5 linked regions of the Callithrix jacchus genome follow. The protein of the gene in region 2 purifies or fractionates together with the protein of the main gene of each other region. This does not show direct contact. Links are inferred from orthologs where the notes say so. Each region holds a gene or a part of one and is shown on either strand. Other genes may lie near its edges.

Evidence for each region.
Region 1: the proteins of PLEKHM1 (region 2) and RAB7A purify together in Homo sapiens (affinity purification with western blotting; 5 studies listed by BioGRID and IntAct, with this or other methods). This does not show direct contact. The link is inferred for Callithrix jacchus from reciprocal best matches to the Homo sapiens genes PLEKHM1 and RAB7A.
Region 3: the proteins of PLEKHM1 (region 2) and VPS33A purify together in Homo sapiens (affinity purification with western blotting; 3 studies listed by BioGRID and IntAct, with this or other methods). This does not show direct contact. The link is inferred for Callithrix jacchus from reciprocal best matches to the Homo sapiens genes PLEKHM1 and VPS33A.
Region 4: the proteins of PLEKHM1 (region 2) and VPS39 purify together in Homo sapiens (co-immunoprecipitation; 3 studies listed by BioGRID and IntAct, with this or other methods). This does not show direct contact. The link is inferred for Callithrix jacchus from reciprocal best matches to the Homo sapiens genes PLEKHM1 and VPS39.
Region 5: the proteins of PLEKHM1 (region 2) and VPS41 purify together in Homo sapiens (affinity purification with western blotting; 4 studies listed by BioGRID and IntAct, with this or other methods). This does not show direct contact. The link is inferred for Callithrix jacchus from reciprocal best matches to the Homo sapiens genes PLEKHM1 and VPS41.

Annotation. Positions count from the first base shown.
Region 1 is NC_133516.1:73,345,286-73,351,154, forward strand, and holds part of RAB7A (ras-related protein Rab-7a), read right to left. Parts: intron 4,105-5,869; coding exon 3,886-4,104; intron 2,920-3,885; coding exon 2,791-2,919; intron 1-2,790.
Region 2 is NC_133506.1:85,836,200-85,842,068, reverse strand, and holds part of PLEKHM1 (pleckstrin homology domain-containing family M member 1), read left to right. Parts: intron 1-2,782; coding exon 2,783-3,053; intron 3,054-5,869. UniProt on the Homo sapiens protein: Acts as a multivalent adapter protein that regulates Rab7-dependent and HOPS complex-dependent fusion events in the endolysosomal system and couples autophagic and the endocytic trafficking pathways.
Region 3 is NC_133510.1:125,448,737-125,454,605, reverse strand, and holds part of VPS33A (vacuolar protein sorting-associated protein 33A), read left to right. Parts: intron 1-1,509; coding exon 1,510-1,636; intron 1,637-3,788; coding exon 3,789-3,856; intron 3,857-5,029; coding exon 5,030-5,167; intron 5,168-5,869.
Region 4 is NC_133509.1:29,784,048-29,789,916, forward strand, and holds part of VPS39 (vam6/Vps39-like protein), read right to left. Parts: intron 2,885-5,869; coding exon 2,764-2,884; intron 2,653-2,763; coding exon 2,532-2,652; intron 1-2,531. UniProt on the Homo sapiens protein: Regulator of TGF-beta/activin signaling, inhibiting SMAD3- and activating SMAD2-dependent transcription.
Region 5 is NC_133512.1:7,207,985-7,213,853, reverse strand, and holds the end of VPS41 (vacuolar protein sorting-associated protein 41 homolog), read left to right. Parts: intron 1-1,769; coding exon 1,770-1,869; intron 1,870-1,974; coding exon 1,975-2,019; intron 2,020-3,505; coding exon 3,506-3,585; intron 3,586-4,165; coding exon 4,166-4,246; 3' UTR 4,247-4,927; downstream 4,928-5,869. UniProt on the Homo sapiens protein: Plays a role in vesicle-mediated protein trafficking to lysosomal compartments including the endocytic membrane transport and autophagic pathways. Acts as a component of the HOPS endosomal tethering complex.

The sequences.
Region 1 (5,869 bases), on a different chromosome or scaffold from region 2:
TGGATCACAAGGTCAAGAGATCGAGACCATCCTGGTCAACAAGGTGAAACCCCGTCTCTACTAAAAATACAAAAATTAGCTGGGCACGGTGGTGCGCGCCTGTAGTCCCAGCAACTCGGGAGGCTGAGGCAGAATTGCTTGAACCCAGGAGGCGGAGGTTGCGGTGAGCCAAGATCGTGCCATTGCACTCCAGTCTGGGTAACAACAGCGAAACTCCATCTCAAAAAATAGAATGTGGCAGGCTGGGTGTGGTGGCTCATGCCTGTAATCTCAGCACTTTAGGAGGCCGAAGCGGGCAGATCACGAGGTCAGGAGTTCAAGACCAGCCTGGCCAACATGGTAAAACCCCGTCTCTACTAAAAAATACCAAAATTAGCTGGGCATGGTGACAGATGCCTGTATTCCCAGCTACTTGGGAAGCTTAGGTAGGAGAACTGCTTGAACCTGGGAGGTGGAGGTTGCAGTGAGCCAAGATCATGCCACTGCACTCCAGTCTGGGCGACAGAGCAAGACTCTGTCTCAAAAAAAAAAAAAGAAGAAGAATGTGGCAAGGGGAAACTTGCCTCATCAGGTAGTCAAATCAAGACAGTCCTCAAGAGGGAACACAGACATCACCAGAACAGACTGCAGAGACTAGAAATAGATCCCAGCACATATGAGCATTTAGCATGGCCAGTCTATTCAGAGAGGGAAATCCCTTACATAACAGTCCACTGATTTCAAACAACTGGCTGAGCTGTCTGAGAGAAAAGGTGAGTCCCTCTTACCTGCCATAAGCCAAAATAAATTCCAGCTGAATTAGAGACAAATCAGATGTAGACATAAGAAACACAGCAATTTAAAATGAATACCCAAACAAAAAGTTATTTTTTTCCTAGTCAAAGGACTTAAAAAGACGACAGAGTTGGTAAAGTCACTTGAAATGTAAGTAGAGTTAACTTCAATTCACCAACAGTTCATCAGAACTGAGAGATGCCCAACTGTGTGCTGTGTGCTATGTGCTCGCTGTGTGTAGCAGAGAAAATCCAAATGGCTAAGCCCCAGGGACAGGGACTCAGAGGGACTCAGCCACGATGGTGGCTATTTACTCACCCAAAGGTTGGCAATGTCAGCAGAGTGACAGGTGACACCTATTGCTTGCTGGCAAGGAGGTAGGAGAAAGCAAGCCCACACTGCTGAAATGTTACTCCACCTGGGGAAAACAACCTGGCACCCTAACTTACAATAAAACCCATCTTCCAATCTAAAAATTTAACTCCTTAGAGGCTAGCTCTAAAAATAAAAGCATTATTATAAGACAACAGGGACAGAAGTGATGGAGGAGAAAAACTCTGATGCCAGGCAACAGGGAAACAGGTGGGAAGCACTTTCTCACATGTATTTGGATTTCCATTCCTTTATATGAACATTAAGAAAAACATAACAGTTTATTATATGGGGGTTAGAGTAGCCAAGTCTGCATCTTGGTCTGCTCCTTACAACTTGAGGGCTCTCCTGGCATTCTGGGTGGAACAATTTCCTCACTGGGTAGAGGTCTGTCCCTTTTATTCTGGAACACTTAGTGCAGACCCCACCTATGCCAGAATTTCCCTGGTCCTTGCAGCAACCATTCCAAACAACTCTCTGCCCTACCGAAAGCCATTACCTCCATGCAGCCAGCTTCCTGGAGTCAGCAGAATCTGCCTTGCCCTTCACAGCCACCACACGCTTCAAGTGTTCTCTATATTCCCCCAAATCCACCATACCTCTGACCACCCCTAGATACTGTCTGATGATGCCTCGTGACCTGCCTTAACTCAACACTGCCCCTAACACAGTTGTACATCAAAACAGACTTTCAACTCACATGAGTGGTTATATCTAATCACAGAAACAGTAAATCAGAAATTCTATATACTGTAGCCCTTGAATAGTTTTCCTGTGTTTTCTTCCTTGTGTTGTTTACTTAACTGTTCCTAGGGAAAAAAGTTACCTGTCAGTATGTGAGAGCTGAAAGAGTCTGTCCCATTTAATCTCCATAATCACTCTGCAAAAGCAGGTATTCCCATTTTTCAGGTGAGGGGGTAGAAGTTCATATATATATATATATATATTTTTTTTTTTTGAGACAGAGTCTTGCTGTCACCCAGGCTGGAGTGCAGTGGTGATCTTGGCTCACTGCAATCTCCACTGCCTGGGTTGAAACAATTCTCCTGCCTCAGCCTCCCAAGTAGCTGGGATTCCTGGTGCCTGCCACCAGGCCTGGCTAATTTTTTGGATTTTTTAGTGGAAATGGGGTTTCACCATGTTGGCCAGGCTGCTCTTGAACTCCTGACCTGAAGTTATCTGCCCACCTCAGCCTCCAAAGGGCTGGGATTACAGGTGTGAGCCATCGCACCCAGCCATAATATTTTTTTTTTTAAGCCCAAACTAGATATAATGATTGGTAGGGAGCAGAGCTGGGATTCGTATTCAAGTTTACTTCCTCCTTAAATAGAAGCAGCAATCTGATAGGGGTCTCCCAGTGACCTGCTCTCCCAATTGCATGAAAAGAAAACAAGAAAAAGCCTAGTAAAAAAAGGGCAGCCTCAGTCTTCATGGCCTCTGCCTCTTTTAGATTATTCCCCACAAAGTGGGATTTCTGGAAGCTTAAGCAGAACATGTCATAACCTTCCCAGATGACCACATAGGGTTTTCTGGCTATATAGAAAAGAGTAGGCTAGGGAAGAAGATTAAGGACAGGAGGCCAGGCATGAGCTGGGTCAGTGGTCAGGCATCACCAGAGGGGCTGATCAGCTGTGGGAGACCCACCTGTTTAAGTGCATTCCGTGCAATTGTCTGGAACGCCTGCTCCACGTTGATGGCCTCCTTGGCACTGGTCTCAAAGTAGGGAATGTTGTTTTTGCTGTAGCACCAGGCCTGTGCCCGCTTTGTGGCCACCTGAAAGAAGCAGGGTGCACACAGGCTCATGACAGAAGCCGCCAGCAGTGACTCCATCCTCCCCAGGAAGTGTCATGGCCCCTTGTCTATAGGTGGTACAGGTGAGGACAAAGACTTAGAGAAAGAGGGTATTGGAGGAGATCTGCAGACCCATCCAAACTCGCCCTGCTGGCTATGTTCAGGATAGCTAGGATTCAGCAAGACAGCTCAAAGCCTGTCTCGGTCTATAGCCCATACCTTCTGACGCTCCTTTCACAAACCTTAAAAGCCATTTGTGAATGGAGTAAGAAGCCAGTCCAGGAAGAAATGAAGAGTGTTTACTGGGACCTCAGAGATCCCAGAACAGGAATTGCTCAGCAGCTTGGTCTTAAGATGTATAGTCCCTTCCCCATTACTGCTAGTGTGATGTCACCCATGCCACTCACACGTTCTCATTCCTTCCCCAACCCCTAGCCCAATTTCAGCCAAGAGATAAGGACTAAGTCACTTAGGAAGGGGAGAAAAAGAGATCCATGGTCAGAAATAAACCTTGTTGTAATTAATCAAAGAGTCTATGTTTCCAACAGAAATGATATTTGAAAGTACAGTACAGCAATTTCACTCAAAGCCCAAAGCAATATTCTGCACACACAGAGATCCAGGCATGGCCTGGAGGTGCTGGGAGGCGACTACTAAGAATAACAAAATCGAATTCCCTCTTTCAAAGTTCAGAAAGGGAACTGAAGCTCAGAGAGCCAAGAAAATGGTCCAAAGTCACAGCCAGTTGGGGGCAGCATGGGGACTTAATTAACCCAGGTGAGTGGGTCCTGGTCCTTAAAGGCCGCTGGCCTGAAGGGCTCGAATAGGGTAAAAAGACTTCCACCAGCACCTCCTACAGACCTGTGAGCTTAGCAGGGAACTCTCCAAATTCACAAGGCCCCTGGGGAGCAGGTGAGTGTGACAATGCCTATCATCATTGGTACTTACTTGTCTGTTTTCGAGGTCAATCTTGTTTCCCAACACAACGAAGGGGAAATTTTCAGGATCTCGGGGACTGGCCTGGATGAGAAACTCATCTCTCCAGCTATCTAGGGTTTTGAATGTGTTGGGGGCAGTCACGTCAAATACCAGAACGCAGCAGTCCGCACCTCTGTAGAAGGCCACACCAAGAGACTGGAACCGTTCCTGTCCTGCTGTGTCCCATATCTGTGAGAGACAAAACATTTATTCCTTGGGAGAATGCTGGCAGAGCACCATGAGTGTGTATGCCGAGGTGCCAGAGGAAATGGGCTAGATTGTGGAGTCACCCACAAAGACAAGTGACACCAGACATCAGGAAGCAAATTTCAGCACCAGAGTATCCAAAACAATCCTCACAAATAGTATATGTGAGTATGTGTCTATGAACGGGTGACACTGAGTCCAACCTCCAGGGTACTAGAAATTTCCTATATCTTGATCCAAGTAGTGGTCACATGTAGGTGGTGTATAAAAGTTGAGCTATAAACGTTAAGACTTAAGTACTCTGGGAACTTTCTGAGTGCAATGGAAATACAGGGAGGTGAGGTGATTACTCACGAATGATACAGTTCAATCCATGTATTTTACTGTATGACAAGTTTGCCTAAACAATATAAAAGATTAGTATGTTTTATTTCATTTATATTATACTTCAATTAAAAAACTAAACAAATGAAAAACTGTGACAGAAAGAGACCAAGAGAAAGACAATGAGAACACACACCAGAGTAACAATTAAACCAGGTACTACTGAGCAGCTCCAAGCTGGCCACATCATTCATGGCCATGCTAGGTTTAAGACCAAGGCTGGGTATCCTCACTGCCCTAGATCCGTAACAGGTACGCAAACAGAGCTGGACAAATATGATGACAACTCAAATATAAGTATGAAGAGCAAAAAAGACAAATTTATCTCTAATGATTCCACTGCCTCTCAGCAGGTTAGGGCATTAAATGCTCTTCTCCCTTCCCCAGATACAATAAACAAAGTCCACACATGTAGACTAAACAGATTCGGGGCTGCTGGTGATACTCATCTCTGTGCTCTCCTCGTTCTTCAATGTTCTACACTGAATATGTATGCATCACTGAAAGTGGAGAAATGACCCCATTCTTAAACAAACACAAACAAACAAACAAAAGGACACTTGGCATCCTCCCACACAGGAATGAGTTCTAGTCATCTGCATGGAGGGGTTTTCTGGAGCTGAAATCCTACACTGCTTATGTGACACTCTCCACATTCTCCCACGCCCCTCCCCTCTACCCATCACACACCAGGGCACTCTGGCAACAGCAGATGGTGTGACATGGGAGAGCAGGTTCACTGGACTTTACTGCTGCCTAACATAATTAGTGAACCACCCATTCCTATTTTTAAGAAAATATTGCTGTCAATTTCCTATAATTATAAACAACTCAGCAATTAACATTAGCATAGGGAGCTTTTTCTGTATTTTTCTTTTCTTTTTTTTTTTGAGACGGAATTTCGCTGTTGTTACCCAGACTGGAGTGCAATGGCACGATTTTGGCTCACTGCAACCTCTGTCTCCTGGGTTCAAACAATTCTCCTGCCTCAGCCTCTCGAGTGGCTGGGACTACAGGCGTGCATCACCAGGCCCAGCTAATTTTTGTATTTTTAGTAGAGACGGGGTTTCACCTTGTTGACCAGGATGGTCTTGATCTCTTGACCTCGTGATCCACCCGCCTCAGCCTCCCAAAGTGCTGGGATTATAGGTGTGAGCCACTGCACCCGGCCTTTTCTGTATTTCAAATGGCTTCCTTCAGATAGACTCCTACAAGCAGAATTACGTAAGAACTCTGCTACCTTTAGGTGGAATCATCATCCGGAACTCAGATACACAAAGGCAAAGTAAAACAACAAAAAGAAAAGTCAACAAGTTGAGGGGTTCCTAGAAAGTTAACAAAATTAATTTAACTTTGAATTTAC
Region 2 (5,869 bases):
AATAACACCCCTTCCTCACACCTTACACAAAAACTAACTCAAAATGGATCAGAAACCTAAATATAAGAACTAAACCTCACAGCTCTTGGCGGAAAACACAGAAGTAAATCTTTGTGATACTAGCGTAGGCAATGGCTTTTTAAGATACAACACCAGAATCACAACACCAAAAATAGACTTCAACAAAAACTGGACATCATCAAAATTAACAACTTATGTACTCCAGAGGACACCATCAGAAAAGTGAAAGCACATCACAGAATGGGAGAAAATATTTGCAAATCATAAATCTGGTAAGGGTCTCGTATTCAGAATACATAAAGCACCTTACAACTTAGATTAGTTCCTAGGGCCAGCATAACAAAGTACCATATATGGGATGATACATTGTTTAAATTTTAACAATACACATTGCTGACCGGGTAGCTCATACCTGTGATCTTAGCACTGCGGGAGGATCACTTGAGTCCAGGGGTTCAAGACTAGCCTGGCAATATGGTGAAACCCATCTCTACCAAAAATATAAAATACTGGCTAGGCATGCCGGTGCATGCCTGTAGTCTCAGCTACTCAGTGGGGCTGAAGTGGGAGGATTGCTTGAGCCTGGGCAGTCAAGGCTGCAATGAGCTCTGATTGCACCACTATACTCCAGCCTGGGCAAAGGGCAAGACCCTGCCTCAAAACAAAATAAAACAGGTCAGGTGCCATGGCTCACACCTGTAATCCCAACACTTTGGAGGCCAAGGCAGGTGGATCACCTGAGGTCAGGAGTTCAAGACCAGCCTGGGCAACATGGTGAAACCGTGTCTCAACTAAAAATACAAAAATTAGCCGGGCTTGGTGGTGCGCTCCTGTAATCCCAGCTACTCAGGAGGCCAAGGCAGGAGAATTGCTTGAACCTGGGAGGTGGAGGTTGCAGTGAGCCGAGACTGCACCATTGCACTCCATCCTGGGTGACTGAGCAAGATTCTGTCTCAAAACCTAAACAAAACAAAACTAATATTTATTCTCTGATAGTTCTGGCGGCTCCTTCTGGAGAGTCTAAGGAAGAATCTGTTCTCACCTTTCTCCTGGGTTTTGGTGTTGCAGGCGCTTGTTTGCATTCCTTGGCTTGTAGGCATGTCACTCTGGTCTTCTCTCTCCACTGTCACACGTGGTCTTCCTCCCTGTCTCTGTCTTCACTTGGTGTTCTCCTCTCTTTGTGTGTCTTTTCTCTTCCTCTTACAAAGACACCAGTCATACTTAATGAAGAGCCCGTTCCACTCCAGCGTGACCTCATCTTAACTAATGACTTCTGCAAAGACTGTTTCCAAACAGGTCACATTCTGAGATACTGGGGGTAGGATTTCAACATGTCCTTATGGGGGGGGGGCACAATTCAACCCACAACACAACTCAGCGACAAAAAGACAGCCCCATTTTAAGACAGACAATAGATTTGAGTAGATTTGAATGGATTTGAATAGATTTCTAAAGGAGAGAAATTGGAACCCTCATACATTGCTGGTGGGAATATAAAATGGTGCAGCCTCTTTGGAAAACAGCTTGGCAATTCCTCAAGAAGGGAAACATAGAGTTACACATGACCCAGCAAGTCTACTCCTAAGTATATACCCAAGACAGTGAAACATATGGCCACACAAAAACTTCTGTATAAGTGATTGTAGCAGCACTATTAATAACAGACAAAAAGGAGAAAAAACCCAACGTCCATCAGCTGATGAGTGAATAAGCCAAATGTGGTGGATCGAGACAATGGAATATTATTTGGCAATAAAAAGGAATGAACACTTATACATGCTTATATAACATGGATGCACCTTCTTTCTCTTCCACTAAGAGAAAGAAGCCAGGCACAAAAGGTCACGTGTCATATGGTTCCATCCCTGTGAGACGTCCAGAACAGGCAGATCTACAGGGACCGACAGTAGATGAGTGGTTGCCTAGAGCTGGGAGCGGCCGGGGGAGATGACAACAGCTAATGGGTATGGGGTTTCCTTTTGGGGTGAGGAAAATTTGCTCAACTTAGATGGTAGCAATGATTGCACAACTCTGTGACTAAGCCAAAACGCTTGAATTGGACACTTTATTTATTTATTTTTAGAGATGCGGTCTCATTCTGTTGCCCCGGCTGTAAGCACTGGAGGGCAGTGGCACAATCACAGCTCACTGCAGCCTGGACCTCCCGGGCTCAAGCAATTCTCCCACCTCAGCTTCCTCAGTAGCTGAGACTACAGGTGTACCATCACGCCCCGCTAGCTATTTTCTGTAGAGATGGGTATTCACTATGTTGCCCAGGCTGGTATCAAACTCCTGGGCTCAGTTGATCCTCCCACCTTGGCCTCCCAAAAGCTGGGGTTACAGGTGTGAGCCAGCATGCCTGGCCAAATTATATACTTTAAGTGGGTTAATTTTAGGATATATGAGCCATATCTAAATAAAGACTAAAAAAAATTTTTTTAGGCTGGTCACAGTGGCTCACACCTGTAATCTCAGCACTTTGGGAGGCCAAGGCAGGTGGCTCACCTGAGATCAGGAGTTTGAGACCAGCCTGGCCAACATGGTGAAACCCCTTCTCTACTAAAAATACAAAAATTAGCTGGGCATGGTGGCAGGTGCCTATAATCCCAGCTACTCGGGAGGCTGAGGCAGGAGCATTGCTTGAACCCTAAAGGCAGAAGTTGCAGTGAGCCATGATTGCACTCCAGCCTGGGCAACAGAGCGAGACTCTGTCTCAAAAAAACAAAACAAATTTTTAAACAAACAACTTCTTTTCCAACAGAAAAACAAGAGCTGGATCTCGGAAGATGACTTCTACCGGCCTTCCCAGGAGCAGCCCCTGGAGAGTGCTTCAGACCACCCCATAGCTTCTTCCAGGGGGACTCGAGAGTCAAGGCCTGGTCTCCACAGGCATTTTTCTCAAGGACCAAGAAAAAGCTGTTCCCTGGGGGCATTAGACCAAGTGTGTGTGCCTTCCCCAGGAGGCAGGCAAACCAAGGCAGCCCCAGCACAGGGCCATAAGAGCTTCCGGGTGGTTCACCGCAGGCAGATAGGTAGGTGACCAGGAGGGTCCTGGGTGGGGCCCATCGGCAGGGACCAGGCCTTTCAGAAGGCAGCTGTGAAGTCCTGTTTTCCATTGCCAAAGGAGCAGTGTGTTCCACAGTATTATAAAACTTCATTGTAGAATGTTGTCATAATCGTGCTCAGTCATTCAGGGAAGCATTTCAGGAAAAGTACTATATTGTCTCAAAACTGCCTGCATGGATAAAAATATTGTTTCATCTGTCAAATAGGAAAATATTTTCCCTGAAAGCTACTCTGTGCAATTTATGATTATAGAGAACTCTTGATTCCACCTGTAGCTCAGAGTAAATCTGGCCCCATGAAGCCCCAGGTGTTTTAAATGGGCCTTCCAAAGGTCTTTACTCTCAGTAGTTGGTTTATGTAACAGCTCTGGGGGGTTTGATCAGATCTGCTATTTGTTTTGTTTGTTTGTTTCTTTGTTTTGAGATGGAATCTCCCTTTGTTGGCCAGGCTGGAGTGCAGTAGCACAGTCTTGGCCCACTGCAACCTCACCCTCCTGGGTTCAAGGGATTTTCCTGTCTCAGCCTCCTGAGCAGCTGGGATTAGAGGTGCCCACCACAATGCCTGGCTAATTTTTGTATTTTTGGTAGACACAGGGTTTTGCTGTGTTGGCCAGGCTATCTGCTATTTGCTTAATGTCCTCCAGTGCTTCCTTTTTTTTTTTTTTTTTTTTTTTGAGACAGAGTCTTGCTCCTTCACCCAGGTTGGAGTACAGTGGTATGATCTCAACTCACCGCAGCCTCCACGTCCCAGCTCAAGTGCCTCAGCCTCCCCAGGAGCTGGGATTATAGAAGTACACTGCCACACCCAGCTGATTTTTGTATTTCCAGTAGAGATAGGGTTTTGTCATGTTGGCCAGGCTGGTCTTGAACTCTTGGCCTCATGTGATCCACCCACCTTGGCCTTCCAAAGTGCTGGGATTACAGGTGTGAGCCGCTGCACCCAGCCTCTCCACTGCTTTTACAGCAAGGCCAGCTTGATCTCCACACACTGTGAAATTTCAGTAAGCCTTAAATAGCCATAACCAAATTGTTCTGTAACCCTCATGATGGGTTTCCTCTTCAATACAAACAAACAAAAAACGTACGCTCCAGAATCTGTCTCTCTCTCTCACTTTCTGTTTGCAGTGACTGGGCAGAGAATCCTGCCCAGCTTAGGGGGTCCTGGCATGGGTAGTCCTGGTGTGGGTCACGTGGGTAGAACACAATCTCTGGCTGGCTTCTGTTTTGTCTGTCAGCCTATGTGATGGCTGTATTCTCTAACCTGCCAACGAAGCTGTACTTCAGGTCTAGGCCATCAAGTTTCCTGAAGGATGGGAAACCCCTGTACAATAGTGTGAAATCTCAAAGCCTGTTCCAAACTGGCGGAGTGAGAATTGTATGTCCTTTGGACACCTTGGTTGTTGTCACACCCCAGGGAGCAGGGAGCTTTGGGCAGCCTGGGATACATAGGCACTCACCCACTCATTCATTCAGCAAATATTATTGAGCCTCTGTGCTATGCCAGGCACTGTTCTAGGTGCTGGGGACATAGCAGGAAGCAAAGCAATGTCCCTCTCTTCATGGGATTTAGATTCTATTAGGGGAGATGGGAAATAAAATTAACCAGTAAGCATAGTGTGTGTTCAGGTGGTAATAAGTGCTATGGAGGACAGTAAATCTCTCCCTCTCTGCGGAGGTAGAGTGGACCATTGCATATAAGATAGCCAGAGAAGCCCTCACCAATAAGGGGAGGTTTGAGGAGACTCGAGGGGAGGGAGGGAAGGAGGCATGAGTATGAACGTGTTTCAGGCAAGGAGAACAAATGCAAAGACCCTGCACCAGGGCTGCACTTGACTTGTCCAGGGACAGTGGAGACCAGAGTGGCAGAAGAGAGGAGATGGGAGCGGGGTGGCGAGCGATGAGGTCAACCTGATGAGGTCTGTGGGCCACCTGAAGCACTTTGGCTTCTGCCAAGGGAGATGGCAGCCACTGTGGAGTTTTGGGGCAGAGAGACATGCTCTAACTTCCCTTTAAACAGGTCATCGTGGCTCCTATGTTGAGGGACTATGGGAGAGGAGAGGAGGTTGACATCACGAGCCAGGCCAGAGATGACAGTGAGTGGGGTGTGGTTGGGAAAGGCGGGGATTCCAGATGTGTGTGGAAGGCAGAGCCAACAGGATTTGCTGATGTAGGCTGTGAAAGAAAGAAAACCTAGGGTAACACCAAGGTTTTTGGTGTTACCAAAACTCCAGGCACCAGGCTGGAGTGCAGTGGCACAATCTTAGTTCACTGCTCCCAAGTTCAAGCAATTCTGCCTCAGCCTCCCAAGTAGCTGGGACTACAGCTGCACACCACCACACCCAGCTAATTTTTGTATTTTTAGTAGAGACGGGGTTTCATCATGTTGGCCAGGATGATCTCGATCTCTTGACCTCGTGATCTACCCACCTCGGCCTCCCAAAGTGCTGGGATTACATGCTTGAGCCACCATGCCCGGCTGACACCAAGGTTTTTAGCCCAAGTAATTGGAAGGATGAATTTTGCCATTTGATGAGATAAGGACCGTTCAGGAAGAAGCAGGTTGGCAGCAGGAATTCATTCTGGGCCTGTCAGCTGAGATCCTAATGGACACGCATGGCGCAGATAGATAAATGAATCTGGATTTCAAGAGCAAGGGCCAGGCTGGAGATAAAAATTGGGAGCTAAAGCCTGAGAGCAGGTAGATTATTGAGAAAGTGGCATCCACAGAGAAGAGACCAGGACCTGGGACTGAGCTCTGGGCACTCCAATCTGAGAGGCCATGG
Region 3 (5,869 bases), on a different chromosome or scaffold from region 2:
TTTTGAGAATGAATTTTTCATTGAGTATGTAGTTCCAGATTTTTTTTTTGAGACAGGGTCTCACTCTGTCACCCAGGATGGAGGCAGTGGTACAATCACAGCCTACTACAGCTGCTACCTCCCAGGCTCAAGCAATCGTTCCACGTCACTCTCCCAAGTAGCTGGGACCATAGGAACATGCCATCGTGCCCGGCTAAGTTTTTTGGGTTTTGGTATTGTTTTTGTAGAGACGGGGTCTCCCTGTGTTTTCCAGGCTGGCTTGGAACTTGGCCATGTAATTCCAGATTTTATCTTTCTTAGGAATTATATTCATTAATTGATTTTCATATTTCTGAAGTTACTTTTGGTTTAAGTTATTACATTTTGCTAAAAAATATCATCACCAAGCTAGGTTCGCTTTGTTCATAGACTATACTCAAGACTAAGGTTCAGGCCAGGCACAGTGACTCCCGCCTGTCATCTCAGCACTTTCAGAGGCTGAGGCAGGAGGATTGCTTGAGCCCAGAAGTTCTAGACCAGCCTGGGCAACACAGCAAGACACCGTCTCTACAAAACAACAGCTTCTTTTATTTTTTTTAACTAGCTGGACACAGTGGCATGTGCCTGTAATCCCAGCGACTCAGGAGGCTGAGGTGGGAGCCTAGGAGTTGGAGGCTGCAATGAGCTGTGATGGTGCCACTGCACTCCAGCCTCGCCAACAGAGAGAGACCCTGTCTCAAAATCAAAGACAAGACTGAGGTTCAACAGAAAAAAATGGTGTTGTTTTTTTTTTTCTGTTACATAGGAAACTTTTCCTCTTTATGGTACCCTCTAAACATTTTTTGTCTTAGTTTTTTACTCAGAAATTTGATGATCTATGTAATACTGTCTTTCACCAATACCTAGATGCCCACAAAACACTGACATAGTGTGTGAGCTGGTACACTGGAAGACAGACGCTGAGGCATCTGCTTCTCTAAAGAAGTGCTAATTCGGGAGACAGGCACCATGAGCTCTATATTTCAGTGACATGTACTTTTCTGTTTTTCTGTATAATGTTGGAGCTGTGTTTGGCCCGATTTATTTGTTGTCCATTCTGCCTTTTATAGTAATATAAATGAAATATCCTCTGAACAATACAAAAAACAGAGCACTTAAAAATAAAATATCAGCCGGGCGTGGGGGCTCACACCTGTAATTCTAACTCTTTGGGAGGCCAAGGTGGGTGGATCACTTGAGGTCAGGAGTTTGAGACCAGCCTGATCAATACAGCAAAACCCCATCTCTACTAAAAGTACAACAATTAGCTGGGCATGGTAGCAGGCACCTGTAATCCCAGCTACTCAGGAGGCTGAGGCAGGAGAATCACTTGAATCCTGGAGGGAGAGGTTCCAGTGAGCCAAGATAGCACCACTGCACTCCAGCCTGGGTGACAGAGCAAGACTCCCTCTCAAAAACATAAATAAAATAAATAAATACATAAATAAACCATCTTCCCTGCCTGAGGCACTGCTGTCTTGTTTCTTTCAGGAAAGACACAATGCAAAGACCGTGGGGGAGATCAAGCAGTTTGTTTCCCAGCTGCCGCACATGCAGGCAGCAAGGGGCTCGCTGGCAAACCATACCTCAATTGCAGAATTGATCAAAGATGTCACTAGTGAGTATCCTTTGTAAAGGTGGTTTCCATCTGGGGCTCTAGCACGCACAGCGTTTTACACCTGGGTCATCAACACCACGACGCCTCCTTGGAGTCAGCTCTGCCTTAATACCATGTGTTATTCCCTGTGTTAACTAAGTGTACATATGTTAACAGTTAAGAATTCCAGGCTGGGCACGGTGGCTCACACCTGTAATCCCAGCACTTTGGGAGGCTGAGGTGCGTAGATCACCTGAGGTCAGGAGTTTGAGACCACCGTGGCCAACATGGTGAAACCCTGTCTCTACTACAAATACAAAAATTAGCCAGGCGTGGTGATGCGTGTCTATAGTCCCAGCTACCAGGGAGGCTGAGGCAGGAGAATCGCTTGAACCCTGGAGGCAGAGGTTGCAGTGAGCTGAGATCACGCCACTGCACTCCAGCCTGGGCAACAGAGTGAGACTCCATCTCAAGAAAACAACAAACAAACAAAAAAAGGATGTTTCATTTGTTGACTGGGCATGGTGGCTCACGCCTGTAATCCCAGCATTTTGGGAGGCTGAGGCGGGCAGATCACTTGAGTCCAGGACTTGAAGACCAGCCTGGGCAACATGGTGAAACCACATCTCTACCAAAAATATAAAAATTAGCTGGGCATGTGGCACATGCCTGTAGTCTCAGCTACTCAGGAGTCTGAGACATGAGAATCACTTGAACCCAGGAGGTGGAGGTTGCAGTGAGCTGAGATTACATCACTGCACTCCAGCCTGGGTAAGTGAGACTCCATTTCAAAAAAAAAAAAAGAATGTTCCATTTGTTAACTGAATTTTTTTCATTATCATTTATATGAAAAATATTTGGAATGTAGAGAAGAGAAAAATATTTTAAGTTTGACATCATAATTTGAGATGGTTAATTTTTAAAATATAGCTTTTTCCTTTTACTTTTTTATTTTGAGAAAGAGTTTCACTCTTGTTGCCCAGGCTGGAGTGCAGTGATGCCATCTCGGCTCACCGCAACCTCCGCCTCCTGGGTTCAAGCGATTCTCCTGCCTCAGCCTCCCAAGTAGCTGGGATTACAGGCATGTGCCACCATGCCCAGCTAATTTTGTATTTTTGGTCTAGATGGGATTTCACCATGTTGGTCAGGTTGGTCTTGAATTCCTGACCTCAGGTGATCCGCCTGCCTCAGCCTTCCAAATTGCTGGGATTATAGGCGTGAAACACGGCGCTTGGCTGCTTTTTTCCTTTTTGAAGGATTACTTACTTGGCAAAGGGTGATTTTTTGTTGTTGTTGTTCTTTCCTTGAATACTCTATTCAGAATTGGTACAGAGAGTATATGTTGAGTATTTTGAAGAGCTCAGAAAATGTCTATTAAAGCAGACATGAGTTTGTTCATTACAACACAGGGCTGTAAAAGCTGAGTAAGAGGTTGTTTCATGAAGTATACTTTTGAATCTTAACTAAAACAGTGTTGGAAAGTCAGTCCTTTGTTTTCCTGTTAGTAGAAGTGGAAACCAGTTGAAATTGGGTTGAACCTAATGATGAAAATGAAATGCTCTTGAGGAATTAGCTTTTATTGATACTGACGCTCATTCTGGGGTCTGTACTGAAATCCTAAGGGTACAAAGGAGGGCCGTTGTCAACTCTATCTCAATGTAACTTAGGAGTACCGAGGCCTAGGGTTTTTCATGTTTCCTAGAAGATTTTCTTCAGATGATGACTTGAACTTATTGCTTGCTTGCTTTTTTTGCATGATGTCTGGTTTCTTTCCTTTTTTCTTTCTTTCTTTTGAGACAGTGTCTTGCTCTGTTGCCCAGGCTAGAATGCAGTGGCATGATCTTAGCTCACTGTAACCTCTGCCTCCCAGGTTCAAGTGATTCTCGCCTCAGCCTCCCGAGTAGCTGGGATTACAGGTGTGCACCACCACAGCTGGCTAATTTTTGTATTTTTGGTAGAGATGGGATTTGGCCATGTTGGTCAGGCTGGTCTTGAACTCCTGGCCTGAAGTGATCCACCCACCTCAGACTCCCAAAGTTCTGAGATTACAGGTTTGAGCTACCATGCCCCACCTGTCTAGTTTCTGAACCATGCTCTGTGTATAAAAGCATGCCACTCCAGTAAGTTAACATTTAATTTCTAAGTTGCAAATTTGCTAATTAATTCATTTTAGCTTCTGAAGACTTCTTTGATAAATTAACCGTGGAACAGGAGTTTATGTCTGGAATAGACACCGATAAGGTATGTGGACAAAAAAAACCTCTTTAACAAGTAGTTAAAAGCTTAGTAAACATCAAATTATAGCCAGAAAAGCAACTGCTTTGATTCCCATGCCTTGCCTAAATTTTTTTTTGTGTGACAGAGTCTCACTCTGTTGCCCAGGCTGGAGTGCAGTGGCACAATCTCGGCTCACTGCAACCTCTGCCTCCCGGGGTCAAGTGATTCTCCTGCCTCAGCCTCCCGAGTAGCTGGGATTACAGGCATGTGCCACCCCGCCTGGCTAATTTTTTTTTTTTTTTTTTTTTTTTTTTTTTTAACTATCTCCAGTAATGGGTATAAGCAAATTTTTGTATTTTTAGTAGAGACGGGGTTTTACCGTTTTGGCCAGGCTGGTCTCAAACTCCTGACTTCAGGTGATCTGCCCATCTCGGCCTTCCAAAGTGCTGGGATTACAGGCGTGAGCCTCTGTGCCCAGCTGCCTAAATATTTTTAAAAACAAATACAAAATGTGCAAGTGTAGATTTTATCATGTAACAGATATTTACCATTATTCTGTGCAAGACTCTTTCTGCCATACCTGGCAAGATGAGACCTAGCCCTGAAATCAAATATTTTTAAATTAAGATATTTGCTCTTTTGAGAGAGTTTCTTACATAATTCCTTTAAATATTTAACTCTGTTAACAAATTTTAAATCATTAACTTTATGAAAATTCCTAACATTAAACAATTACTGGTACTTTCTGCTAGATAAATTGTGGATATTATTGAAACGGACTAGGTGTCTGGTAGCCTCTCAGGAGCGTAGAGGCAGGTGGGTCCAGACAGACATTTGGAGTAACCAGCTGTATTCTCTGTGGCCTTGGGCTCCGGTGACTTGGCCTAATCACTTGTAGGGTGTGTGTGTGTGTGTGTGTGTGTGCACCTGCATGCTAGCCCAGGTGTGCATGTGGCTGGGGCTAGGAGAGCTATTTCAGAGGGGTTAGGGATTGTGAAAAAATAACTCATTTTCCCACATATCTCCTTTATTGGACTTTGAAAAATAATAGTAAACATCAAGTTCTTTTAAGTTCCCAAACCGGATAGTGTGTGTGTGTGTGTGTGTGTGTACACGTACGTACGTGTGTGTATGTGTGTACACGTACGTACGTGTGTGTGTGTATATATATGTATATGTATGCTACTTTATTTCTAGGTCAACAATTACATTGAGGATTGTATTGCCCAAAAGCACTCATTGATCAAGGTGTTGAGACTAGTTTGCCTGCAATCCGTGTGTAATAGTGGGCTCAAACAAAAAGTTTTGGATTATTACAAAAGAGAGATTCTCCAGGTAAGTATATTTTTAAATTATTAATTTGCCAAGAGGGACAGCATCTTTTTAAAAAATACTTCATGGGCCAGGCACAGAGGCTTATGCCTGTAATCTCAGCACTTTTGGAGGGCGAAACAGGTAGATCACTTGAGGTCAGGGGTTTGAGACCAGCCTGGCCAACATGGTGAAACCCTGTCTCTACTAAAAATACAAAAATTAGCCAGGCGTGATGGTGTGCACCTGTAGTCCCAGCTATTTGGGAGGCTGAGCCAGAATAATCGCTTGAATTCAGGAGGCGAGGTTACAGTGTGCCAAGATCACACCACTGCACTCCAGGCTGGGTGACACAGTGAGATTCTGTCTCAAAAAATAATAAAAAATAAAATTTTTTTAAAAAATAAAAAATTCAAAGCTGCCATTTTGATATATTGTTACCACTGTTTTTTAAATTGTTTAACACCTAGAGGAATTGGTCTTGGAAGCCATCATTGCTTATTGTATTTGTGTGATAGTAGCTAACAGGCTGGGCACAGTAGCTCACCCCTGTAATCCCACTATTGTGTGGGACTGAGGCAGGAGGATCCTGGAGGCCAAGACCGGCCTGGGCAACATAGGTTTTTTTACAGAAAGTAAAAAATAATGATAGCTAACATTTATTGAGCATCTGCTCTATGCTAGGGTCTATTGGAAAAGCTTCATATGCATTCATTTCATCTTCAC
Region 4 (5,869 bases), on a different chromosome or scaffold from region 2:
TTTCCCTCTGAAAGTTCCATGTATGTTTGCTTTTCTATTTAAATAAAAGGTTACGGCCAGGTGTGGTGGTTCACACCTGTAATTCCAGCACTTTGGGAAGCTGAGGCAGGCGGATGACCTGAGGTGAGGAGTTCAAGACCAGCCTGGCCAACATGGTTAACCCCATCTCTACTAAAAATAAAAAATTAGCTGAGTGTGATGGCATGCACCTGTAGTCCCAGCTACTCAGGAGGCTGAGGCAGGAAGATCACTTGAACCCGGGAGGTGGAAGTCACAGTGAGCCAAGATCACGCCACTGTACTCCAGCCTGAGGCTCTGTCTAAAAAAAAAAAAAAAAAAAGATAGCTTCCTCCTGGACTAAGATGATGTCAATCAACCTTTTTTGGTCATAAAAAGGGCAGAGCACAAAATAAGTATGAGCCTAGAAAAGAGAAGAAAAAATGGGAACCCACTTCCATTTTCTACGAAGATCACTGAAAAGACTCTGAGACCTTCCTGCTAAAAGAAATAGACTAAGGAGTTTCATATCACATAACCTTTTTATAAAGTTCAAAAACTAAATACATTACTTCTATATATTAAATACATGTAAAAAATTAAACATATGTTTAATCATTAAATATATATATTTTTCTTTTTTCCCCCTTGATCCTAGGACTTTATTACATATTTCAAATATATATTATATAATATACATATTAAACATATTTACATATTAAATATATATTTTAAATATATATGTAAGAGTAAGGTCATGATAAATACAAAATTTAGGATAATGATTACATCTAGAGGAGAGACAAAGGGATGGGATTGGAAGGATTATAACAAGTTATGAAAGATATGGTTCTTGGGTAGGATGGTAAGTACATGGGTATTCATGTGTTTTTTTTTTTTAATGAAAATAAAATAATACAGAACAATGCATGACTACAAAAAAAAAAAAACAGTAAGATGCTGAAATTCAGTGCTCCAAGAAAGCAATCATCTTTATTAAATATTAACTATGTCTATTAAGATAGGATTTTTAAGTCCAAAACATATATATCCAAAGTAAATGTTCTTCACGAGTAGCCACCATAGGTAACTAGAAGTACCTGCATTCTAAAAAATTGCTTTCCTTTCAGAAATAGTTTACAAGACACTCTAGAAATTCAGTTTCATTACTATTATCTTCATAAAAATCTCTACTTTAAAGTACCACTATCTGAGGCTGGGCATAGTGGCTCACATCTATAATCCCAGCACTTTGGGAGGCTGAGATGGGAGGATCACTTAGCTCAGGAGTTCAAGACTAGCCTGGGAAATGAAGTGAGACCCAATTTCTACAAAAAATAAAAAGAATCAACTGGGTGTGGTGGTATATGCTTGTGGTTCCAACAACACAGGAGACTGAGATGCTTGAGACCAGGAGGTTGAGGCTGCAGTGAGCCAAGACTGCATCACTGCACTCCAGCCTGGGTGACAGAGATCCTGTCTCAAAAAAAAAAAAAACCAAAAAACAAAAAAATACATATAGTAGCAATATCTGGCTTAACAACTAGGTTAGGCTCAGAATGACTTTTGGTTGTTTCCTAAAAGCAAATCCATCCCCTACAGATGACAATAATCATAACTGAGGATGTTTAAAAGAACAAGATACAGACTCTGACGTCAATCTTCAAAATGAGAGCATCTTTGGAACGAGAGGTGGTCACTGTTTTGCTGTGAACAAGATCCCTTGCATATATCAGAGTAAGCATCATAAATATAAGACTGCAGCCTGGCTGAATACAATAACTGGAAGTAGTTTCAAAATATCAAAAGAAAGCCTACTTATCCAAACATAGGAATGTACTGTTGAAAGGAATTTTTAGGGATCCTCTAGTTGTTGCATTCAACTTGACTGTAACAGCACATTTATGATGGTTACTTTACTTTAATGTCTGCATTATGTTTAATTTTTCAAGACCATGCAATATATATTAAATATTTTAGTCTCCTAGTCTTTTTTTTTTGAGATGGAGTCTCGCTATGTCACCCAGGTTGGAGTACAGTGGCATGATCTTAGCTCAATGTAACCTCTACCTTCCCAGGTTCAAGCAATTCTCCTGTCTCAGCTTCCCAAGTAGCTGGGATTACAGGTGCCTGACACTACACCCAGCTAATTTTTGTAGTTTCAGTAGAGACAGCATTTTGCCATGTTGGCCAAGCTGGTTTTGAACTCCTGACCTCAGGTGATCCGCCTGCGTTGACCTCCCAAAGTGCTGGGATTACAGGCACAAGCCACCACTCCTGGCCTCTCACATTAATTCTACAAAGTACTATTACTATAATTGACATTCATTCTACATTTGACAGATAAAGTGAAAAAGCAAAATCACTTAGAGTTACATAGATATTTTATGGTGGAGTCAGATCCAGTATCCAAGGCCCCTGACTTTCAGCTATGTCCTTATTCTACTAATCCAAAATAAATATGAAAACTGAAACCCAAATCACCTATTTTCAATAACAATAAAGAAGGCAGACTAGTCAGAAACAAGACTTACTGCAAGCTGCAGAGCCAATTCAAATTGCTTGTCCTGGAGAAGCTGTTGGATTTGGGTTGCCATGGGGACAGGGATGAGTCTCCAAACAAAATGATTGCTAGCCACATAGATAATGTTTGATCTGGAGGTAAGAGTAAAAATATTAGCAAAAGATCACAGGTTTTGTGATGACACAGGTGACTTTACAACTTTGGGAAAATATGCAGCCATGGTAAAGAAAGAAATTCCTTACCCTCCTGAGGTAATGAAACGAGGCCTTTGCAATTCAATGCTTTGGACCAGAAGCCTTGGTTCAAATGTTCGGATCTCCACATATCGAGGCAATACTGCGATGATGTAGGGAGGCTGGTGCTCTGTGAAGGAGAACATATAAAGCAGTTGTTCTGGTCTAAGGCTTTGGGTTTATGGAGTGTTTCAGCTGCTTATTTAAGATGTATTTAAATGGATAAACAAAAAGTCCACTAGTCAAATATCAAGCCGGGATCTTACACTGTGATTCAGAAAGAAAACAAAATTGGTCTGTAATCCCAGCAACCTGGGAGGTTGAGGTGGGAAGATCGCATAAACCTGGAGTTTGAGACCAGCCTAGGCAACTTAGTGAGACATTGCCTCAACAAAAACATTTTTAAAAAAAATTAGGTGCGGTGGCACACACCTGTAGTCTCAGCTACTCAGAGGCTGAGGTGGGAAGATTCTTTAAGCCCGGAGTTTGAGGCTGCAATGAGCCACAACTGCACCACTGCACTCTAGCACGGGTGACAGAGTGAGATCCTGATTCTAAAAAAAGAAAAAAAAATATTTTGCTTGACTTATGGTAAGAGAATCTCTTGCACAAAAGAGATGCATCAGCTTTGCTGACAGTCGCCTAATCACAATCCTGCCTTATTGCCCAAATAACTGGATAAAAGTTTCACTTGCTCTTTTTTCATCAGTCACAAAGCCACGCCAGACAAAAGACAGTTGCAGCTGCCCCTACAGTGCATCAGTGGGACAAACAGGCAACAGAACCTCTTCTTTCATTCTCTTAGAAAGAGGGGGAAAAAAAAGGTAAATTCTACTTTCCCTAAAATTACTCTAAGGGAAGAGGAGTTCCACATTTCTAGACAATGTTGTTTCTGCTAGAAATTTTCACGGAGAAAAGGTGTGATGTTCCACCTGATGGCTGCTATGGTTTGATTGTTTTTGTTCCCTCTCAAACTCATACGTTGGATACTTAATCATTCCCAGTGCAAAAGTATTGGAAGGTGGGGCCTAACGGGAGCTGTTTAGGTCCTGAGGCTCCACCCTCATCTATGGATTAATGCACTATAAAAAGGGCTTATGGGAGTGAGTTCTCTCTCATCTACCATGTGAGAACAAAGAGCTTATCTTTCTCTTACCCTTCTCCTTCCATTATGTGAAGGAGCATCAAGAAGGCCCTTACCAGACACCAGATGCTGGCACCCTGATCTGGGACTTCCAAGCCTCCAAATCTGTGGGGAAACAAATTCTAGTTTTTAAAAATTACCTAGTCTGTGGTATTCTGTTATAGCTGCACAAATGAACTTTCATACTTGCTGTCAAGTCTTAAAATGGTTTTCCTCTATTATACACATCTAAAAAAAAAACCTTTCATTCATCTATCCATGACCCAGAATTTACCCTTGCTGATCCAGTACAAATTATGTGTTATACTCCTTTTCTTCATTCTTTCTCTCTCTTTTGGAAATAACTTTAAATATATCCACTATATTTTTCTGTACTTATTGACAGGCATGTGACAATCCAAAGCTTAAAATGCTGGATGAAGCAGAACAATTCCACACAGTGCTAAAGAAGTCAGTATGTAAAAAGCAGAGCTGACAAAACCATAAAATCATCACAAATCAAGTCTTCCAACATTTGAGAAGCTGTATGGTGAAGGAGATTTAACATAAACGGAAGGAATTTAGAAAATAAGCAACACAAAACACATCTTTAAAAACACAAAATCTCAGAACAAGACTGAATAAGGATCTGCTTTACCTTACAATGAATTGTAAAATAGGTTGTATCCTACATTAAACATAATTTCACTAACTCAGAGACAACAGAAATATTTTCTATGACTATATTCCATACTATATCAAGAATTAGTAAAAAAACCACAGTGAGATATCACCTTATACCCCTTTAGGATGTATACTATTTAAAAAAAGGAAGAAAGAAAGAAAAGAACATGTGTTGATGAGAATATCGAAAAATTGGAACACTTGTGCACTGTTGGTGGGACTATAAAATGGTGCAGCCGCTATGGAACCAGTATGGTGGTTCCTCAGAAAATTAAAAATAGAATCACCATATGGTCCAGGAATCCCATTTCTGGGTATACATTCAAAACAATTGAAAATCAGGACTTCAAGGAGATATTTGCACATGCATGTTCATAAGCAGCATTACACACAGTAGCCAAAAGGTAAAAGCAACCCAAGCACCCATGGACAGATGAATGGATAAACCAAATGTGGTATATCAATACAGTGGAATATTATTCAGCTTTAAAAAGGAAGGCATGGACCTTAAGGGCATTATGCTAAAGTAAATAAGGCAGTCACAGAAAGACAAATACTGTATGACTTCCCTTATATGAAGTATCCAGAAGTCAAATTCATAGAAGCAGAAAGTAGAATGGCAGCTTCAGGGGCTGGAGGGAGAACTGAGGAGTTATAAGCGGGTATAGAGTTTCCATTTTGCAACATAAAAAGATTCTGAACGTCTATTGTACAACAATGTTAACATACTTAGTACCACTTTATACTTAAAAATGGTTCAGGTGGTAAATTGTATGTTATGTATTTTTTACTACATTTAAAAATAAAGATGTTTTTAAAAGTAAAAACACTAGTAAAAAGCAAACCACTGGATGCATAATTACCACACAGAAATTTAACTTCAAAGACCATAGTCATAAAATAATTTACTAATGTGGCTAATCTGCTATGAATTTATATTCCTAATTATCCTTTTTTTTTTTTTTTTTTGAGACAGGGTATCTCTATATAGGCCAGGCTGGAATGCAGTGAGTGGTATGATCACAGCTAACTGCTGCCTCCATCTCTCCCAGACTCAAGTAATTGTCCCACATCACCCACCCAGGTACCTGGGACTATATGCATACAACACAATGCCCAGCTAATTTCTTAAATTTATTTTTTGTAGAGATGAGGTCTCACTATGTTGCCCAGGCTGGTCTCAAACGCCTCAGCTTAAGCAATCCTCCTGCCTCAGCCTCCCAATGTGCTGGGATTACAGGTATGAGCCACTATACTGGTTTAATTATCCATTTTCTGAGACAAAGATTTTCCTATTATATTTGCAAT
Region 5 (5,869 bases), on a different chromosome or scaffold from region 2:
TTGAGTTTCTTCCTCTGAAAAAGACAGCAACAAGTTCTGGTTTAAACATAATAATAATAATGGCCAGGTGCAGTGGCTCACACCTGTAATCCCAGCACTTTGGGAGGCTGAGGTGAGCAGATCATGAGGTCAAGAGATCGAGACCATCCTGGCCTACATGGTGAAACCCTGTCTCTGCTAAAACTACAAAAATTAGCTGGGCGTGGTGGTGCATGACTGCAGTCCCAGCTACTGGGGAGGCTGAGGCGGGAGAGTTGTTTGAATCTGGATGGCAAATGTTGCAGTGAGCCAAGATCATGCCACTGCACTCCAGCCTGGCGACAGAGTGAGACTCCATTTCAAATAATAAATAGAATGACACCTGACTTATGCACACCTCCTGGGGCCTCTCTCAGTGTCCTACTAATACCTAAGAAAACCCAGCAAAGGGTGGAAATTCACACTGTGCCCCACAGACTGGGTATGAAAGATTAAAGGTCACCTGCCCCTGCTGTGTACCCACTTAAAAGCAGGGGAGGGGTCGGGTGCAGTGGCTCAAGCCTGTAATCCCAGCACTTTGGGAGGCCGAGGCGGGTGGATCACGAGGTCAAGAGATCGACACCATCCTGGTCAACATGGTGAAACCCCGTCTCTACTTAAAATACAAAAAATTAGTTAGGCATGGTGGCACATGCCTGTAGTCCCAGCCCCTCAGGAGGCTGAGGCAAGAGAATTGCCTGGACCCAGGAGGCGGAGATTGCGGTGAGCCGAGATCGCGCCATTGCACTCCAGCCTGGGTAACAAGAGCAAAACTCTGTCTCAAGAAAAAAAAAAAAAAAAAAAGCAGGGGAGGATCTTGGTCCCCATTTTGCCTCCACTTCTGAAATACAACATTGGTACCAGCCAGAAATCGGCAACATCCCTTCACTGTGTGCTTTTGACTTCTGAGGCTGCTAAAGCATTGTGATGTTTCTTGTCATTCACCAGGCAGGAAGTGGGGGGAAGTAGTAAAAAGCCTACAGAGGAATAAGAAAAATGTGTGAAGAAACAAAGGCTACAATGCTGGGATGAAGAATAAGAAAAGGAATCTTGTGACAGAATATGAGTATCAGTGGTCATTTTTCAATTGTCAGAGCTCCAAGGAGTCACCAAATTTGAAGTTTATATAGTCAGTTAATACCCCACACAGACACACACACACACACACATTCATAGCACTGTGCTCAATGGTTTGGATTGGATTTGGAAAGTAAAAGACAGATTGCTGCCTGATTTAGGATAGAGATTACATCTGTTTAGTTTATTATCTGTACCTAGTACCCCGTATGTGGTAGAGACCCAGTACTTATTTGTACAGTAAATAGATGAATTTATGAAATAAATGGATGATCTGGGTAAAGATATGGAGAATGGAATGAACACATGATGTAGGAGCCAAACTCTGCCTGAGAGAATCTGTTTAAGGAATCCCTCTAAAGTAACAATATGGCTAGTTAATATAGGGCCTTTTTTGTCAGACTTCGAAATTTAATTTTAATTATACAAATGCTACAGGGCCAGTGTATGGTTGGAAGAAATGATGCACAGGGTAATGAGTGGACCCTGGCTGGCCAGGTCAGCCTAGTAGTAGTGGTTTGGCGGGAATAGGGTACTGAGAGCAAGAGAACCAGTGAGTGTCCCTTTAGAGTGTTTCAAGCATGGCAGCTTTTGGAATCCCCTGTAGAGTGTCCCTTCACTTCTCAGATTTGAGTGTATTTAAGGTGGCTTTTCTTTTAAAATGTGTGCATTAGATTCTGCTTCGTGAAGGCTGCAAGAAGATTCTCGTAGCTGACTCTTTGTCCTTACTGAAGAAAATGCACCGAACTCAAATGAAAGGCGTGCTTGTTGATGGTGGGTAAAATTGAAATAATCACATAGAACTGCAGACCCTGCTTTCAGAAATGGCCGAGCGGACATAAACAGGGTATAATTCAAAGTGTGTGTGTTTTCTTACAGAGGAGAACATCTGTGAATCATGCCTTTCTCCTATTCTTCCATCAGGTAAGAAGGTTTCCCCAAAAAATGTCCCAAATATGTGTTTGAATGATGAGTGGAGTCAAAATTTTGGAATTAGCCAACTGCTGTTTATAAAAGTATATAATTTCAGAATGACCCAGTGGAGGGAAGTGTGGCTCACATCCCGCTCAGTGGAATGCAGGTGTAGCCATTGCTTAGAGCTGAGTTTCTCAAGCTCTAGGGTCAGTCAGCGTCACCTGGCAGGCTTGTTGGAACCCAGATCGCTGGCCCAGTCAGGCTCCCTAGAGACTCTGGTTCCAGACTTCCAAGGCAGGATTTGAGAATGTACATTTCTGACAAGTTCCCAGGTAATGTTGATGCCACTGGTTCAGGGGCCATTGTTTTAGAACTGCTAGTCTAGGGTAAAACAAAATGAAAACTAGCCATCAGCATTTAAATTTCAAGGTAGAAGAACCACGTATGTGTCTGGGGAAAAAGTATTTACAGGTAGCATTCCCTTTTCTTTAATCTTTTTCTCTGCTATTGGTTCTACATGCCCAAGTCATCTCACATTTCAATAGAAACAATATATATATATATATATCTCCATCTGTAATGAAAAGCCTCTTAAGGTTTATTATGACATAAGAAATTTGCCTAATTCAAAAGCAGAAATTCACAAAGCATCATTTTCAGGATGCTAACAAGTGCTTTTGAAATAGAAATTCAGCATAACAAAATATTAAAAGACTTAGGTGGCCTCATGTTTACTTAGCATTAAAGGATTATTTCATGGGGCAGTGCATGAGAAGTTGTTCTATTAGGTTCTTTGCTAGAGGAAATAGATTTGGATTTTTGAGTGCTTCTCTTAAAAACTTCAGTGAGCTCAGGTGAAGAAGTGAGCTTCCATAGCATTTCAGCCAGTGTTTCAGCAAAAATGAACCGCATGCATTCCCACTCTACAGTTAGATTAAATTCCAACTGTAATCTGCTGATGACCCGAAATCTTACCAAAAATAAGCTGGCCACACAGAGCAGGAACAGATGAGGAGATCTCCCCAAGCAGAAGTACAGTAAAATGCAAGGTCACAGCCTGGGCTTTTAAGCCAGGTCTGCCTCTGAAGTGGTGTGTGGTCTTGGCAAAGGCAGCAGGTGGACTGGGAAAGCATTTTAATGAAGCCACAGACTCAACTTCAGCTGTGGTGTGTAATGACTACAGGGGTTAGGGGCGCACAGACACATACACATGCTGGTTTTCAAGATAAAGGTTACTGCAGTTGTCCTCAGTGTAGTCTTGGTAACTGACACAGAAGCTAAGCAAGTAACCTGTGAATCAAGGAGCAACACGATTGTAATACCTGTTTTGTGTTTGATCAAAGCACCCCTCAGGAATGCCTTTGTAAATAAGCCACTCTCTAAAGGCGGCTTACTGCTGGAAAGTTAACTGCAGCTGGACTCTCAGTCAGGATTGGTTTAAAATGATCTTGCTTGTTGCATTGAGTTCTCCTCCTTTATCTGCCTTCCTCACCAGATGCAGCTAAGCCCTTCAGCGTGGTCGTCTTCCATTGCCGGCATATGTTCCACAAGGAGTGCCTGCCCATGCCCAGCATGGTAAGTTGGCAGCTTGGCACCTATCAACTATAGGGAAATTAACACAATTAGAGGAATGTGCTCAAAACTATAACGCATCATTCTTATGGCTCCATGAGTTAAAAAAAATTATAGATTCATATCACATAACAAATTAATCTAGTTTTCAAATGCAAAAATATTTAGAAAGGCTTTGTATACTATAGTAAACAGAAAAGCGTACCCATTTGAAGGAATGTATTCAAGCCAAATGAGCAGCTGTGGGGCTGTTAATTTGGTGATGAGCAACAACAGGAGAGAGCCATCCTCTATGTGATGTGTTTCTCAGCCGGATTCGTGTTCCATGAGGCTATCATGTTTTTAGTGTCATGTTCCCCCAGGTCATGTTAGACTTACTCTGCTGTTGAGTGTCCTTTGAGTTATAGACTCACAGCTGATCTAGGCTGAATCTTACATTAACTGGAAATAAACTCCAGAGAAAGGAGTGGCATTTCATTACTTCCTCTCTACCCCCTGACTAATGCTACCCTAGTATTTCCGAATATGAGAGCAGAAAAAGGAGATCATTTTTTAAATCTGTGTTTTTAAATTGCATTTTTAGAACTCTGCTGCACAGTTCTGCAACATCTGCACTGCTAAGAACCGTGGACCAGGAAGTGCAATTTTGGAGATGAAAACGTAGCTCGTTTCTGCTTCACAGTCTCCTCGTCATCGCTCTTTTTGAGACTGTTTCCGCAACAGCACAAGCATTTGTTGACACTCATGCTGTTAAAAGATTTGTTTATGTTTAGATTATGCTCAAAAACAGTTTCTTTATCCCTGTACTAGTGGCTTCTCTGCATTGACAAAGGATTTGGGGTTCTCCCATGCTTTGAAATTTTGGGGTCCATAGTCAATATTTTATTATTTATTTGTTTGGCTCATTGTTTATATAGTAATGGAAACATAAGTCTAGGAGTTAGAACTGACTTTTTTAGACCTTAGAAAAACCATTTAACCATAAGATGAACTACTGAGAATTGTCCCAGCTGCCTGAAAGCGTCACCAACTGAGGTTATACTGCAAGCTACTACCTACACCTTGGACCTGTTTCCCTGTGCTCTGCCAGCCACCATTCTTGCATTCTGGGTTTGACTTTTTTCTATGTCATCAACTATGGTTATCCTCTAAATAGGCATTTAACGAAACATTGTACAAATTGTCACTCATTCGGTGACATCTGGGAATACTATTAGCAGGCTGATGTCCTGCACCTTTATGTGTACTAATCACCTGTTCTGTGTGCCCTGACAACTGGCAGAGTATCTGGCCATGGCAAACACTCAACATTTGTTGATTGAATAAATGTTAGCTCTTCTCATTGTGAAGGACTCACTTTTACTGGGATGAACAGATGCAGTTAAGAATTCTGGCACCCTTGTAAGGAAGAGAAGAGAGTTCAGCGCCTTTGAGTCTGAGCACTTGTGACTAGGGTTTGCCAGGAGGGAGGAAATCAGTGACCCTGTGAAAACTGAGGGTGTCTCAGGAACAGTGGACCGCCTGATACTGAAGGATGGGCTAATGATGTTTCCTCTTGCCTCCTCTGAAGCCTCCATTAGTTGTATTCCTAGGTATTTTATTCTCTTTGTAGCAATTGTGAATAGCAGTTCATTCTTGATTTGGCTCTCTTTAAGTCTGTTATTGGTGTATAGGAATGCTTGTGATTTTTGCACACTGATTTTGTATCCCGAGACTTTGCTGAAGTTGCTTATCAGTTTCAGGAGATTTTGGGCCGAGACAATGGGGTCTTCTAAATATGCAATCATGTCGTCTGCAAATAGAGACAATTTGACTTCCTCTTTTCCTATTTGAATATGCTTTATGTCTTTTTCTTGCCTGATTGCTCTGGCTAGAACTTCCAGTACTATATTGAATAGGAGTGGTGAGAGAGGGCATCCTTGTCTAGTGCCGGATTTCAAAGGGAACGCTTCCAGTTCTTGCCCATTCAGTACGATATTGGCTGTGGGTTTGTTGTAAATAGCTTTTATTATTCTGAGATACGTTCCGTCAATAGTTTATTGAGAGTTTTTAGCATAAAGCGCTGTTGAATTTTGTCAAAGGCCTTCTCTGCGTCTATTGAGATAATCATGTGGTTTTTGTCTTTGGTTCTGTTTATGTGGTGAATTATGTTTATAGACTTCTGTATGTTGAACCAGCCTTGCCCTCAGAGAACAAAGCACATCACAGAGGAAGAAAAGTCAAACTCGTGATCGTGTCTTACAGTTATTGGCTTCATCCGTCTTGGGATGCATGGCCATCCTCTAAT